Arabidopsis thaliana: one gene and its partner. The protein of the gene in region 1 binds, or shares a complex with, the protein of each later gene. Each region holds a gene or a part of one and is shown in the gene's direction. Other genes may lie near its edges. The genes, in order: MEE4 and AT3G62790.

The links.
Region 2: the proteins of MEE4 (region 1) and AT3G62790 are in contact, whole or in part, in a cryo-EM structure (PDB 7AQQ), measured with the Arabidopsis thaliana proteins. Residues at the interface, in NP_171957.2 of Arabidopsis thaliana: Tyr104 (codon at 4,189), Tyr107 (codon at 4,198), Glu108 (codon at 4,201), Asp110 (codon at 4,207), Val111 (codon at 4,210), Met112 (codon at 4,213), Lys113 (codon at 4,216), Asp114 (codon at 4,219), Val115 (codon at 4,222), Trp118 (codon at 4,231), Gly121 (codon at 4,240), Glu122 (codon at 4,243), Val124 (codon at 4,249), Tyr125 (codon at 4,252), Asn126 (codon at 4,255), Ser127 (codon at 4,258), Arg129 (codon at 4,264), Met131 (codon at 4,270), Pro132 (codon at 4,273), Pro133 (codon at 4,276), Ala134 (codon at 4,279), Thr135 (codon at 4,282), Arg139 (codon at 4,294); in NP_191838.1 of Arabidopsis thaliana: Ile7 (codon at 4,889), Thr8 (codon at 4,892), Arg13 (codon at 4,907), Asp16 (codon at 4,916), Phe17 (codon at 4,919), Leu36 (codon at 4,976), Leu37 (codon at 4,979), Glu39 (codon at 4,985), Asp40 (codon at 4,988), Glu43 (codon at 4,997), Cys44 (codon at 5,000), His47 (codon at 5,009), Lys49 (codon at 5,015), Glu50 (codon at 5,018), Phe51 (codon at 5,670), Arg53 (codon at 5,676), Arg54 (codon at 5,679), Arg56 (codon at 5,685), Ile57 (codon at 5,688), Glu60 (codon at 5,697), Glu61 (codon at 5,700), Lys64 (codon at 5,709).

What each region holds. Positions count from the first base shown.
Region 1 is NC_003070.9:1,287,572-1,294,231, reverse strand, and holds MEE4 (GRIM-19 protein), read left to right. Parts: upstream 1-3,119; 5' UTR 3,120-3,245; coding exon 3,246-3,460; intron 3,461-4,008; coding exon 4,009-4,080; intron 4,081-4,166; coding exon 4,167-4,311; 3' UTR 4,312-4,411; downstream 4,412-6,660. Other genes in the region: AT1G04645 (Plant self-incompatibility protein S1 family), read left to right, coding at 1-379; LIP2 (lipoyltransferase 2), read right to left, coding at 984-1,691; EMB1687 (ribonuclease P family protein / Rpp14 family protein), read right to left, coding at 2,427-2,882; AT1G04625 (Polynucleotidyl transferase, ribonuclease H-like superfamily protein), read left to right, coding at 4,412-4,538, 5,444-6,000, 6,312-6,401.
Region 2 is NC_003074.8:23,222,335-23,229,091, reverse strand, and holds AT3G62790 (NADH-ubiquinone oxidoreductase-like protein), read left to right. Parts: upstream 1-4,765; 5' UTR 4,766-4,870; coding exon 4,871-5,020; intron 5,021-5,669; coding exon 5,670-5,771; 3' UTR 5,772-6,062; downstream 6,063-6,757. Other genes in the region: AT3G62810 (complex 1 family protein / LVR family protein), read right to left, coding at 912-991, 1,089-1,329; DRB4 (double-stranded-RNA-binding protein 4), read left to right, coding at 1,929-2,159, 2,249-2,630, 2,889-3,343; AT3G62780 (Calcium-dependent lipid-binding (CaLB domain) family protein), read left to right, coding at 6,167-6,757. UniProt on the Arabidopsis thaliana protein: Accessory subunit of the mitochondrial membrane respiratory chain NADH dehydrogenase (Complex I), that is believed not to be involved in catalysis. Complex I functions in the transfer of electrons from NADH to the respiratory chain.

The sequences.
Region 1 (6,660 bases):
AGTTTCTATTGTTTGCTTCTTCTTCTTTCTTTTATTTGGTTCGGGTTATGGGGGCCTCCCACCGTTCTGGCGCGCTACGGTTGTCACGATGACAAACTTGATTGGCGGTCCACCTCTTACCATACATTGCAAATCCAAGCAAGACGATCTAGGAATTCACGTGGTGCCTTTCAAGCAAGAGTACCACTTCAAGTTTCAACCAAATCTTTGGAAATCAACATTGTTCTTTTGCAGTTTCCAATGGGACAGTCAATTCAAGTCGTTTGATATATATGATGCTCAGAGAGATCAAGGTATATGTGATGACTGTCAGTGGGAAATAAAACCTGATGGTCCATGCAGGCTCGGTAAAAAGGCGAAATGTTTTCCTTGGAAGTAAGTTTGTACTCCTGCGATGATGAAGATATATATATATATATATATATATATTCAAATTCAATAAAATCAATAAACAGAATATTTATGCATTTCTTACTATTTAAAGATTTGTTTCTTAAAGATACTCATTGACATCGGAATGCTTAGAGTAAGAAACAAACATATTTTGGTAGACACAAAACCGGAGTAAACCGAGAATTATTCGTTATCTTCACTGGTTTTCTCTCTTAAGGTTTGTTGTTGCATACTCTTCTCACTAAGGATGTCAAAATGGTTAACCCAATTCAACACAACTCATTACCAATGAGTTTAGGCTTCATGGGTTGACCCAACTCATTTTGTTAAATAGGAAAAGCAATTCAAACAGTTTGAGATATTTGATGCTTTCAGAGATCAAGATGTATGTTATCTATGTAATTGGACTGTCAAAGCTGATGGTGCTTGCAGGCTTGGTAAAGAGCATAAATGTTTTCCTTAGAAATACTTTCATATGACTGATTTTAATGAAAATTTGAGAATGAATAAGACAATATCAGAAATCCACATCACGTCAAAAAATAATAACATTTTTTGTAGACAATAAATCAAAACCGGATCAAACCGGATTATTCTTTATCTTGGGTGTCCAAAATGAGTGAAGGATCTTCCTTCCAGACAACATCATCATAAGAAAACGCTTTGGCTAAACAAGAAACCAACTGTTCATGAATCACTTCTTCTGAAGGAAGCAGAGTATCCGTCTCTCTTCGCAAAGATGTAACTTCTTTATCAGCAATCCCACAAGGCACAATGTGCTCAAAGTACTTCATATCAGGATCTATATTTAAGGCCAAACCATGACTAGTGATTCCAGAAGATATCCTAACCCCAATAGCACCGATCTTCCTATCCCCAACCCAAACCCCAGTCTCACATTTGTTTCCTGCTCGAGCTTTCACGCCATAAATCGAAGCAAACTCGATCATTGACCGCTCCAATGTCTCCACGTAGTTCCTAGCACCAAAACCAATGCTGCGTAAGGAAATGATGGGATATAAGATGGCTTGATGAGGGCCATGGAAGGTGATGTCTCCTCCTCTTTGAGTATAATGAAGTTCAGCTCCGATTTTTGTAAGTTCAGATTCAGGGATAAGTAGATTGTGATCGGTTCTACGCTTTCCGAGCGTATAAGTTGGTGGATGCTGAAGCGAGAGGAGGGTATCTGGAATCTGATGAGCTTTTCTCTCTGAAACTAATTTCTCCTGCAGTTTAAGGGATTTCAAATAGTTGACAGTGCCTAGCTTCCAAACCTCCAAGGTTCTAGGGGATCTCATTTCCTGCACATTAACACAGACTCCATAATTGATCACTTTATCTCTAACTACTTAGGTTATATAGGAAGATTCCAAACACGACCTTTTTTTCCACACAAACTTAATACTACTGATGGGGGTCTAAAAGCATGACTAACACAACAAAAAATTTCCAAAGGCAGCAAACCTAAAATTAGGAATAAAAATCTGAGGAGCTAGGATACAAACCCTATGAATAGTTTTTGGTACCAGGTCTTTGAGGTATTTTATCGAACACTTAACATGCATACACAAAGAAAAAGACACGGAGGATTACCGTAACCGATAAAAACCCATATAAATGATCGTATACATGGTACAAGAGCAAGTAATCGGTAAAGTAAGAGGCTTTGAAGAGCTAGATTACCGTTTCAGTTCTTCTCCTCCACCGAAGAGTTTGGACCTCAGAGATAGGTTCTCTCCAGATTAGAAATTTTGGATTTATTAAAAGCTTCAAAATTCAACGACTTTGCACTTGTACCCTTAAGTTTTCAATTTTCACAGAATTACGCCTTATCTAGAACATATCTCAACAATTCACACCCTCTTATTTTAATTCCAACATATAAAAACCCAGTGATTCAAATCGCAAACAATCTTTTCAGGGAATGATGCTGTTTCTTATCCCTTTGTATTTCAGAATTAAGAAAAATACAAAGATTGTACAATTTCAAAACTTAGGGGTCAAATTCGAAGGAAAAAAGGTCTAGAAAAGTTTCAGTTTTCCAATAGTTTGATCTTCTCAAGAGAAGTATTCATCTGCCTAATCTCCTCTTCAGACAAGCTTTTGCTACACTGCTCAAACTTCTCCTTGTCGCACTTCAAGGCTGTGTCTCTACACGCTCTGATGCAACCGCTAATATCGAGCAAGTTTAAGATCACCGGACAGTTTCCGATGCTTTTGACCAATGTGATTGCTAACCAAACTTGTCTGTGTTCTTCTCTTGATGATCTTACAATGCATAGCTTCGTGATTGGATTCACATATTTCACTTGGAAGGAACCGAGAGACGAACCTAGACCACACTCGCCGAAATTGACGAGGATACTGTCTTTGATTGCTTTCGAGAGATTGAATTGTGTAAGAATGATCGGTGTTCCTTCTCCGAGAAGATCCTTGTCCGGATCCAGAAAAACTTCCATTAACATGTATCTGTTCTTAAATCCCACCATGCTTCTTCGAATCTCCTCGATTTGATGATACCAAGTCGGCGGCTAAAGATATTCTGAACATGTAGTTAGGGCATTTTATATGTAAGAAGAAGAAGAAGATAATCACGTGACTCCACGTGACTTGCTTACTTATGGACTTGGGTCTTTGAACATATCTGAAATGGGCTTAGTTATAGCCCATTTCATCTCATACGACTCCGTGATTTGCTAACTAATGGGCTTAGTTATATGGTCCTAGCCTAGTTAATCTCCAACGTTCCCTTCGTTGTTCATCGGAATCCCTAGAACACTCGATTTCAGCAAAATCAAATCGGATTCAGTGATCAAAAGTCAATTTGGTCGAGAAGAAATTGAGCGTTGAAGATGACGGAGGCGATGATAAGAAATAAGCCAGGAATGGCGAGTGTGAAGGATATGCCGCTGCTTCAGGATGGTCCGCCACCGGGTGGGTTCGCACCGGTCCGATATGCCCGCCGGATATCCAATACGGGTCCTAGTGCAATGGCCATGTTCCTTGCCGTTTCTGGTGCCTTTGCTTGGGGAATGTACCAGGTCGGCCAGGGAAACAAAATCCGCAGGTAAGAACGACTTGTAATAGCTCGTTCACATTTCAATTTTTCCTCTAAAATTCGAGATCGCCTTGGTAAAATTAGTGTTGTGGAGTGATTGATGACCATAGTAATGTAGTGAAGGATACATTTTGGTTAATAATTGTTGAAACTTGAGTATGTTTATCGTAGGAATTGGTTAATATTATTAACCTATGGAAACATAGGCTTGTTGAATCACTGTTATGTATTCTGTTATTAGTATTCCCCGACATTTTGGTTGAAGCTTAATCAGCATGAGTTTAGCCTTAAACGAATATAAAGTTCGTCAACAATTTGTAAACTCTTAAAGCCACAATTGCAAAGATGTGAGAATCTGTTATGATGAAAGCAATTATCTAGTTGCATGTTTTGATAGTAGTTATCGGGATACTGTTTCTATGTAGATAGATTGTTTTAGTATTATATCTGGCTTGATCATTAACTTCTTATGCATTTACAATGGTCCTAAACAAGTCTGATTTGATATCAGTAAGTATCAAGATTAATGCTCTTATCAAGATTGATGTGATGTTTAGGGCATTGAAGGAAGAGAAATATGCTGCTCGTAGAACAATACTTCCCATTCTTCAAGCAGAAGAAGATGAAAGGTAAACCATATTCTCAAATTTAAGTCAATGTGCCTGCAGCAACCTTCAGATAGCAATCTTGTTTCAATCCCCGTTTTGCATTCTAGGTTTGTGTCTGAGTGGAAAAAGTATCTGGAATATGAGGCTGATGTAATGAAAGATGTTCCGGGATGGAAAGTTGGCGAGAATGTGTACAATTCTGGTCGCTGGATGCCTCCGGCTACTGGGGAACTCCGTCCTGATGTGTGGTGATTTCCTAGTTTCTCTCAAATGCATATGATGATGATGAATGATGTTTCGCTGAGGATTGATATGTTCTTGTTATATCTTTTTTTCTTCGGGTAATAAGAGAATGATTCAACAGACAGTATTCTTCTTGTATTGGTTTTCTCTTAAGTGTTTCAATCGTAATATGAGGCAAAAACAGTTTCATGATTCATCAGCAAGCTGCAAGAAATTGGCTTATTTGACAGCTCCAGGTGAAAAATATTCGAAAAAGCTTACCGAGTGAAATCGAACCAAATCATATATAATTATATGTGAATTTAATATCCAAAACAATAAAATTTTGAAAACAAGAGTTCTTGAAAATGAAAAAAAGAGTAAAACCTTTTCAGAAAATAAATAAAATTAAATGCTAAATATAGTACATGAAAATGAGAAAAATATGTTAGATTTGTGAAATCGTTAATGACCATGGTTAAATGGCGGGATCCAAAATCCGGTTAGATTTCACAACGTCATATTAATTTAGTATTTATAAAATCTTTTAAAAAAAAGAAAAAGGAAAAAAAAAGAGAGTTGAAAACATTTTTAAAAAAATAAAATAAAAATAATTAAATGCTAAATATACATGAAGATGTGAAAAACATGTTGGATTTGTGGAATCGCTAATGACCACGGTTAAATGGCGGGATCCAAAATCTGGTTAGATTTCACAACGTTATATTAATTTAGTATTTATTAAAACTTTTAAAAAAATCAAAAAAAATTTGAAAAACTTTTAAGAAAAGAAAACAAAAAATAAATGCTAAATATACATGAAGATGTGAAAAATATGTTGGATTTATGGAATCGCTAATGACCACGGTTAAATGGCGGGATCAAAAATCCGGTTAGATTTCACAACGTCATATTAATTTAGTATTTATAAAAAACCTTTAAAAAATTATTTATTTAAATGTTTTAGTGAAAGTTTTAGTTTTGGTTAAAATAATTTTTAAAGAAAAGAAGAAAAAAAGTTAGAATGAAGAAAGTCCTAGTGTAACGAAGGCCTCATACAGCAAAGCCCATTCCAAAGTCCTAGTGTAGCTCTGTCGTAACATTATCCACCAATTTTAGGTCAATTTTGTAAAACTAAACTACAAGATCATTCCATGGGAAGCTTCTCTCCGATATGCAAGACAAGACGCCAAAGAATGGCAAGATGCAGAAGAGTACACCCACCGTTTATCATCAAAACCTGACAGAGTAACGTCACAAGAACCAACAGCTAATCTCTGGACAACACCCCCTATTGGTTGGACGAAATGCAACTATGACGGCACTTACCACAGCAACGCTCCGAGTAAAGCGGGTTGGCTCTTACGGGATGATCGAGGAACCTTTCTAGGTGCAGCTCATGCTATAGGCTCTATTACTACCAATCCGATGGAAAGTGAACTCCAAGCTTTAGTCATGGCCATGCAACATTGTTGGAGTAGGGGCTATAGGAAAATTTACTTTGAAGGTGACAATAAAGAAGTCTCAGAGATTGTCAATGGTCGGTCTTCAAATTTTGCAGTTTTTAATTGGATAAGAGATATAAGCGCTTGGAGATCAAAATTTGAAGAATGCAAGTTTACTTGGACAAGGCGATTTTCAAACATGGCTGCAGATGCTCTGGCAAAACAACAACTTCCTTTGAACACTCAGTTTTATTGCTATAACTATATCCCGTTTGTAATAACTGATTTTTTACATCGCGACTTTGCTACAGCAAATTATTAATAAAGCTGATGTTTGAGGAAAAAAAAAAAAACTACAAGATCAAACCCTAGTTCCTCCGATGAAATTGCGGTTAGAAAACTAAATATTGATTGACCTAATTCAAAGAGACCTTTTTTGTGCAGAAACTAAATATTAAAAATCCAAGGTTCCAAGAGATCAAATAGGAATTTAAGCGAGAAGCAACATACCTGAGTCTCGTGACAACGGCGCGTGGTTTGCGTCAATACTTGGGACTCTCGGTGAGATCCGCCATGATTTGCTAGAGAGATCGTGAAACGCAAGAAAACAGAGAGACAAACGGTGGCGAGATCATTGATGGTGTGATCACCGAGTTACAGTTCCGACGGTTCTGACGGTGGTGAAAATGGATGGTGATCATCGAGCTTTGACGTTCTCGTGATCGGTGAGTTCTTTTTGTAAGAGAGGAACAGAAACAAACAGAGGCTAAAAAGACAAAAGAAGAAGAAGAAGGTGGATTTTTTGTTTTCTTCTCGTAATCCATGCTTTGGACCTTGTATCAGCCACTTATGATCATTTGCTATATTGATGCTTTCCAATTTTAGAGTATTGAAATGGGTTTCTTTGACAATCATTTTGAGTTAGTCATCATTC
Region 2 (6,757 bases), on another chromosome or scaffold:
GGACGTGCGTGAGTTCTTATATACAACATAATCACGTAATGCGTGAGCATTTATGAATACAGCTAAAGAATTGAATCAAACTCACATGAATTGAGAGAACAAAGTATATGTGGTTATGACGATTCACATGATTCCTATGAAACAATGCTCTTCAACACAAGAATCTAAGGATTGCACACCAGCGAGAAGATGACTGAGACACTAATAAGAGAAAGCTAGAACTCTGAACTTAAAATCATGAATGGAGATGATAAAAAAGGACTTCTGAGCAAATGCTGTGGACACTCATGAATGGGGGTAAATCTTGACAGATTGTGTAGTGGTTTTCATTGGAAAATGAACCATACTTCTCGGACCCCGTATCAACAATATAGGTTCTATTTTATTGGTTTGAAAAACTAGAGTGACCATCACGGCTTCAATCTTCTCGCGTCAACTCTATTTCAAACTTCCCATCAGACTCTGTGAAACAATCGGGGACAAGGAAATCTAGATAGATGACGAAACCTAAGCTTATGTAGGAAATAATTATATTTCAATCTAACAATAAAAGTGACATGGATTTGAAAATGATACAAAAGATGGGTCTCTACGACAAGACAAGGCTTCTAAGATTTGAGAATGACACAAAAGATGGGTCTCTACGACAAGACAATGCTTCTAAGAAAAGTAGAAAAGTGAGGTCTACAGTCTAACATACAACATAATCAATATTAGCCATGGATGTAAGTGAATTCTGTAATTCTTGTTTTGAAATGGACGAATCTCATCCAAAAATGTATGTAAAGAGCTTCTTATTGATTCAACTTGGCCGTGAAAAGAGAAAACAAACAGAGAAGCATAAAAAGGATCCACCTTTCCCGATCAAACAAAACGAGTAAGGGAGAAGTAATCCAATTTCAGACTTACACTCATACAGATTTTTTCCGAAGCATCTCCTCTGATGGAAGCTCCAAAGTAGCTCCCGCGTGTTCCTGACTTGCTTTCATCTCTACGACACAGAAAAATCAAATTTCCAAAGATATGAGCTTTCACTCACGCATTTCAACAAACAGATGGTGCGCAAGATAAAAAGAGTCAGAACGAACCATATCCGCCGCGTTCGTTGAGTTTAGCCTGGACGATCATGGTGGAAATGAACTGCGTCGCTTCACGCGCCTCTTCTAGAAGGCGAGTGATGTCGGAGTTAGAAGCCACGAGGCGATTCTCTTCGAATTTCTTACGGATCTCGGACGCCGAAGCTTTTAGCATCTCGGTATCTCCGGCGAATGATTTCTTTGTTGCCCTGAGCAGTGCTCTGTACGCGATCAACGCTTCTCCGGTCACCATTTCTGCTCTTTCCCCTTTCAACCTCCGCCGTCGTCTCCCTCCCAAAATTGGATTTAGAAATTTGGTCGCCGACAACCTTCTGATCAACTTCGAGTTTCATTGGGCCTTTACAACTTTCATGAATAAGCCCAATTTTGGCCCATTAATGGATTATTTCGGATCATACCCGTTCAAGCTGGGTTAACCCGAATCTTTCGTATCCTTGAGACAATTTACATGTGTATACTTATTATGGTTTCTCGATGAGTTTCAATCAGCGAATGCTTTGTCTGATTGTTCACTTCCTCCCTCGAAGTGTCTTCACCATTTCAAAGAGGTACGATTTTGTGTTTATAATCGTAGATTCCTTTCGCTGTTTTGATGTTATCGATCTGTACGAAACCCTAGATCATTGAGTCTGACCAATTCTGAAATTCGTCTCTTCGTTTGCCATTTATGTTTGAGAAATTCTGATACATGTTGTCATGTTGATCTCTTTATGTTTGGTTGACCAATTCTGAAATCTGAAATTCGTCTCTTCGTTTGCCATTTATGTTTGAGAAATTCTGATACACGTTGATCTCTTTATGTTTGGTTAATTCCTGCCAGTTTAGATAGAGATGGATCATGTATACAAAGGTCAACTGCAAGCGTATGCCCTGCAACATAATCTGGAGCTACCAGTGTATGCGAATGAGAGAGAAGGGCCTCCTCATGCTCCTAGATTTAGATGTAATGTTACATTCTGTGGACAGACTTTCCAGAGCTCTGAATTCTTTCCGACACTAAAATCGGCTGAACATGCCGCTGCAAAAATTGCAGTTGCTTCTTTGACGCCACAAAGTCCAGAGGCTAGTTCCTCACACTCTTTTTGGACTACAAGTTATGTGCTTTTTCAACATTTGTTTAAATTTTGATTTTCAAATTTTTGTTGTTTCAGGGAATTGATGTTGCCTACAAGAACCTGTTACAAGAAATTGCACAGAAAGAGAGTTCTCTGTTACCATTTTATGCAACTGCTACATCTGGTCCATCGCATGCGCCTACTTTTACTTCAACTGTTGAGTTTGCTGGTAAAGTTTTCAGTGGAGAAGAGGCGAAAACCAAAAAGTTGGCTGAAATGAGCGCTGCTAAAGTTGCATTCATGAGTATCAAAAATGGGAACTCGAACCAGACCGGATCGCCTACTTTGCCTAGTGAGAGACAAGAAGATGTAAATTCAAATGTGAAGAGCAGTCCACAAGAGATCCATTCTCAACCTTCTTCCAAGGTGGTGATGACCCCTGATACCCCATCAAAGGGGATTAAAGTGAATGAAGATGGTTAGTTTTCTTTGAATACTACACTACATGAATAATCCGTTGGTTTGTTTGTTAAAGGAAAAACTCTCTTTCTTTGTTATAACTTGTGGTCCAATCAGAGGGACGTATTTTCCTGAGATAGGTAGGAAACAGCTATGAAATAAGAAAGCCAACCTTACTTTAACTGCATGAAATGGATTCCAATTTCAGTTTAATGCTAAATGGTCAAGATGGTTAATTCATTCAAAACTCATGCTCTACAGTCTTGATTCTGTGCAGAATTTCCAGATCTTCATGATGCACCAGCCAGTAATGCTAAGGAGATTAACGTTGCTTTGAATGAGCCTGAGAATCCTACAAACGATGGTACTCTTAGTGCACTAACTACTGATGGTATGAAGATGAACATTGCTTCTTCTTCTTTGCCTATACCTCACAATCCTACAAACGTTATTACTCTTAATGCACCAGCTGCCAATGGTATCAAGAGGAACATTGCTGCTTGTTCTTCGTGGATGCCTCAGAATCCCACAAACGATGGTAGTGAAACATCATCATGTGTAGTAGATGAGAGTGAGAAAAAGAAGCTCATAATGGGAACTGGCCACCTGAGTATACCAACTGGCCAACATGTAGTTTGTCGCCCATGGAACCCCGAGATAACTCTTCCTCAAGACGCGGAGATGCTCTTTAGAGATGATAAATTTATAGCCTATCGTCTTGTGAAGCCATAACGACATCATCATCTTTGATGCATAATAAGTGTAGAGATAGAATGTTAAGGTAAGCTATATCTCATCTGTTTGTAGAAATAGAATGCTTCTCGTCTCTGGTTTTCTTAAGCAATATGCTATGTAGTATGTATACTGTGTAATGACTAATTTTTGTTTTAAAGCATTGTGTTTATTAGAAACAAGGCGAGATTAAATGTTAATAGATTATGGAAAAGCTTAACAGAATAAATATTAAATAGTAAGATGTAGACATAAGCAAAACCAGCTAGATAAGTAACCGCTTCAAGTAGAATATTTGTAACGATAACCGAATATAATTAGAGACACTAGAGTAGAGGTAAGCAAAATATTTGGGAACAGCAATTCCATCACGATATTAGATATTCGAGACCGGTGCGGAGATGTGCTGATGATTTTCGGAAGACATTCAGGTTGTACATAGCTAAGTCCATATTGGTACCCACAAGTGCTGATTTTCCGAACAGATCCTGGTTGTGAACGAAGCAGGGTGTGCCAGCAGTGCCAAGGCACAGAGTCCTTATTTTCTCTCTTAAATTTTAGGGTCCTAATTTATAGGAATTTTTATTTTTCTAGATAAAATTACAATGGTTGAATAGAACTACAAGTGTATTACGTTTACAAGAGACAGTAAACACTGCCACGTAAACTAAAATTTTTTGGATTTAAAGGTTTAAAGGGGATATTTTTTTTTTTAGCACAGAACCCAAAATAATATTGAGTCGGGCCTGGAACGAAGTGAGACTAAATTTTCGACGAAAGAAGTTATAACACAAAAGTCTGGAGAGGCAACAAAGGTAGTCTGTCTCTGGGTAATATTTGAACAACCTTTTCTCACTCTCACATAAGAAAAGATTCCCTAGCTTAGAAACAGCCATGGGCGTGAACTACCTTCTCCAAAACAATGAAAAGCAATTGTTTTCTTTAAAAGTGGAAAATTAACTATTAAATTTGAAAAAACAACCCAAACATTTTTTAATACCGTAAAAATACTAGAATTAAACTTTACCAAAAATTAATATAATTCTTTAAAAAAAAACTAAAGTCATATTTAATTAAATGTTTTATATATAAAATATATAACATTATATATGACATATAAATTACTATCATATATAGTCCGTAATGGCCATTAAGAACTGCTAAATCAGGGGTTTGAAATTCTAATCCACCAACAAGTCAAACATAAAGGAACTTTTGCACTTTTTTTTTTTCGACAGCAGACTAAATTTTATTAAACTATTAAAAGCCTAGTAACAAAGTAACAACAATTCCTGCTTAATGTTAAGGAACGGGTAAAATTCTGGTAATAATTACCTTCACACTAACGTAATTACAGGAATTGATATCTCAAAGTTGGGCCCATGAAGTGTTTACGTTAAAGCCCATAATATAAAGGCACATTTATTTCGGGTTCTAATTGGATTAACCTGAATAGATCGGATCCTCGGAAATCAGGCGAAGAAGACGACTAAATTTCTCCTGGGATTAGAGAGAGAGGAAGGAAAAATGGCGTCGGGGTGGGGGATAACGGGAAACAAAGGGAGGTGTTACGATTTCTGGATGGATTTCAGCGAATGTATGTCTCATTGCAGAGAGCCCAAAGACTGTACTCTTCTTCGTGAAGACTACCTCGAGTGTCTTCACCATTCCAAAGAGGTTAGGTTTCGCCTTTTTCCTTTTTTTAGGGTTTCTTTCAATTATCGTTCCTGTGTTGTTGTATGTGTCATCAATTCACGCTTTTGATTGCTTGATCTGTTTCATTGATGATTCGTCCTGTTATCGGTCGTCTGTACGATCATCGATAGTTTCTGGATCACGAGTTTAAGTCATTCCTAGATCCGTTGGAACAATCTCTCAGTCTGGTCGTTTCGTTTGCTACATGTATAAAAACATAAGCTTTCTTTTTGCTTGAAACTAGAAAAGTTGAATTGCAATCTCCCAAGTATATATGTGGATGCTTTCACTAGGTTGCTTGTAGGGATTAGGTTAATATAATACCACTTCCCTTATCTGAGATTTAGTTTCATGGCCATGAATTGTTTAGCTGTTAAGTTTGGAAGTTGAGACTTACTCTTTATCTCTTGTCTCTGTTTGATCTTTCAAATGGAACGATATTGTCTCTCTTCTCTATGTGTTGAAATCATAAATTTGAATGAAACTGAATGTATAGGCTTGCGTGTGAACTTTTGAGGGAATCAAAAGCTTTATTATTGTTGTCTCCAATATTGTTTCTTTCTTCTTTGCTTAGTATAAGCCTATGGTAGATGAACTGATAAGGAGCGCATATTTGTGTATTTTGATCTAGTTCCAACGAAGAAACAGGATATACAAAGAAGAACAACGTAAACTAAGAGCTGCATCAAGGAAAGGCGAAGAAACCGGGGATGGGACTCATACTCATCACTAGTCGAGATTTTCCTCCTATCTCCAAAGTTTGCATCTTTCGAAGAATAAACAAAAGTTTCTTGAAGATTTCTGTATCTTGTGTGCCAAACTTCATTTGATCGTATTCAGTTTGCTTTTGCAATGGATTTTTTTGTCTTTGCTTTGTCTATTACCTTTGACCGAGTTGTAATATGCCTTTGGCTACTCGTCAAACACAGACTCCTTCTTTAATGGTAATAATTACTCCTACAGTTATATTAAAATCATTATTCGAGAGACATTAAAAACAGAACAGTGGGTGGAATAATGAAAAGGTCCTCTATAAATAGTTGTCATTGACTTTCACTTAGTCTTCTCTGCAACTCCTATATGTAATGTGTCTAGAGAGAACCAGCTTTTTCATTGGGTAATATCAAAATGGGGACGAGATCTCTAGAAATAAATGTGACATCAGCAAAAGGGCTTAAGAAAGTGTCGAAGATGGATGTTTTTGTGGCCGTGAAGTTATCCGGTGATCCAAAATGCTCTGACCACCGTGAGCAGCGGACACAAGCGGCAAGAGACGGTGGAACCAGCCCCAAATGGAGCAATGATGTCATGAAGTTCATCCTCGACCAAAACTTAGCAGAGGCTAACCGCCTTGTGATCACTTTCAAGATCAAGTGCGAGCAACGTGGAGGAGTAGATAAAGACATCGGCGAGGTTCATGTTCAGGTGAAAGAACTTCTGGATCATCTTGGAAACGATAAGACCGGTCAAAGATACGTCACATATCAAATCGGGAAATCCAAAGCCGATATTAGTTTCACTTATTCGTTCACAGGTCCGGTGGAGGTCCCGACCGGTGGCGGCTGCTCACGGTACGCAGCTCAAGCGCCGGTGCGTCCTGTATCGACCTACCGGCCCGTTTTGAACGGACCCATGTTGAGTCAGTTGAACGGACCCGTGTTGAGCCAGTTGAACGGTCCCGTGTTGAGTCAGTTGAATGGTCCCGTGTTGAGTCAGTTG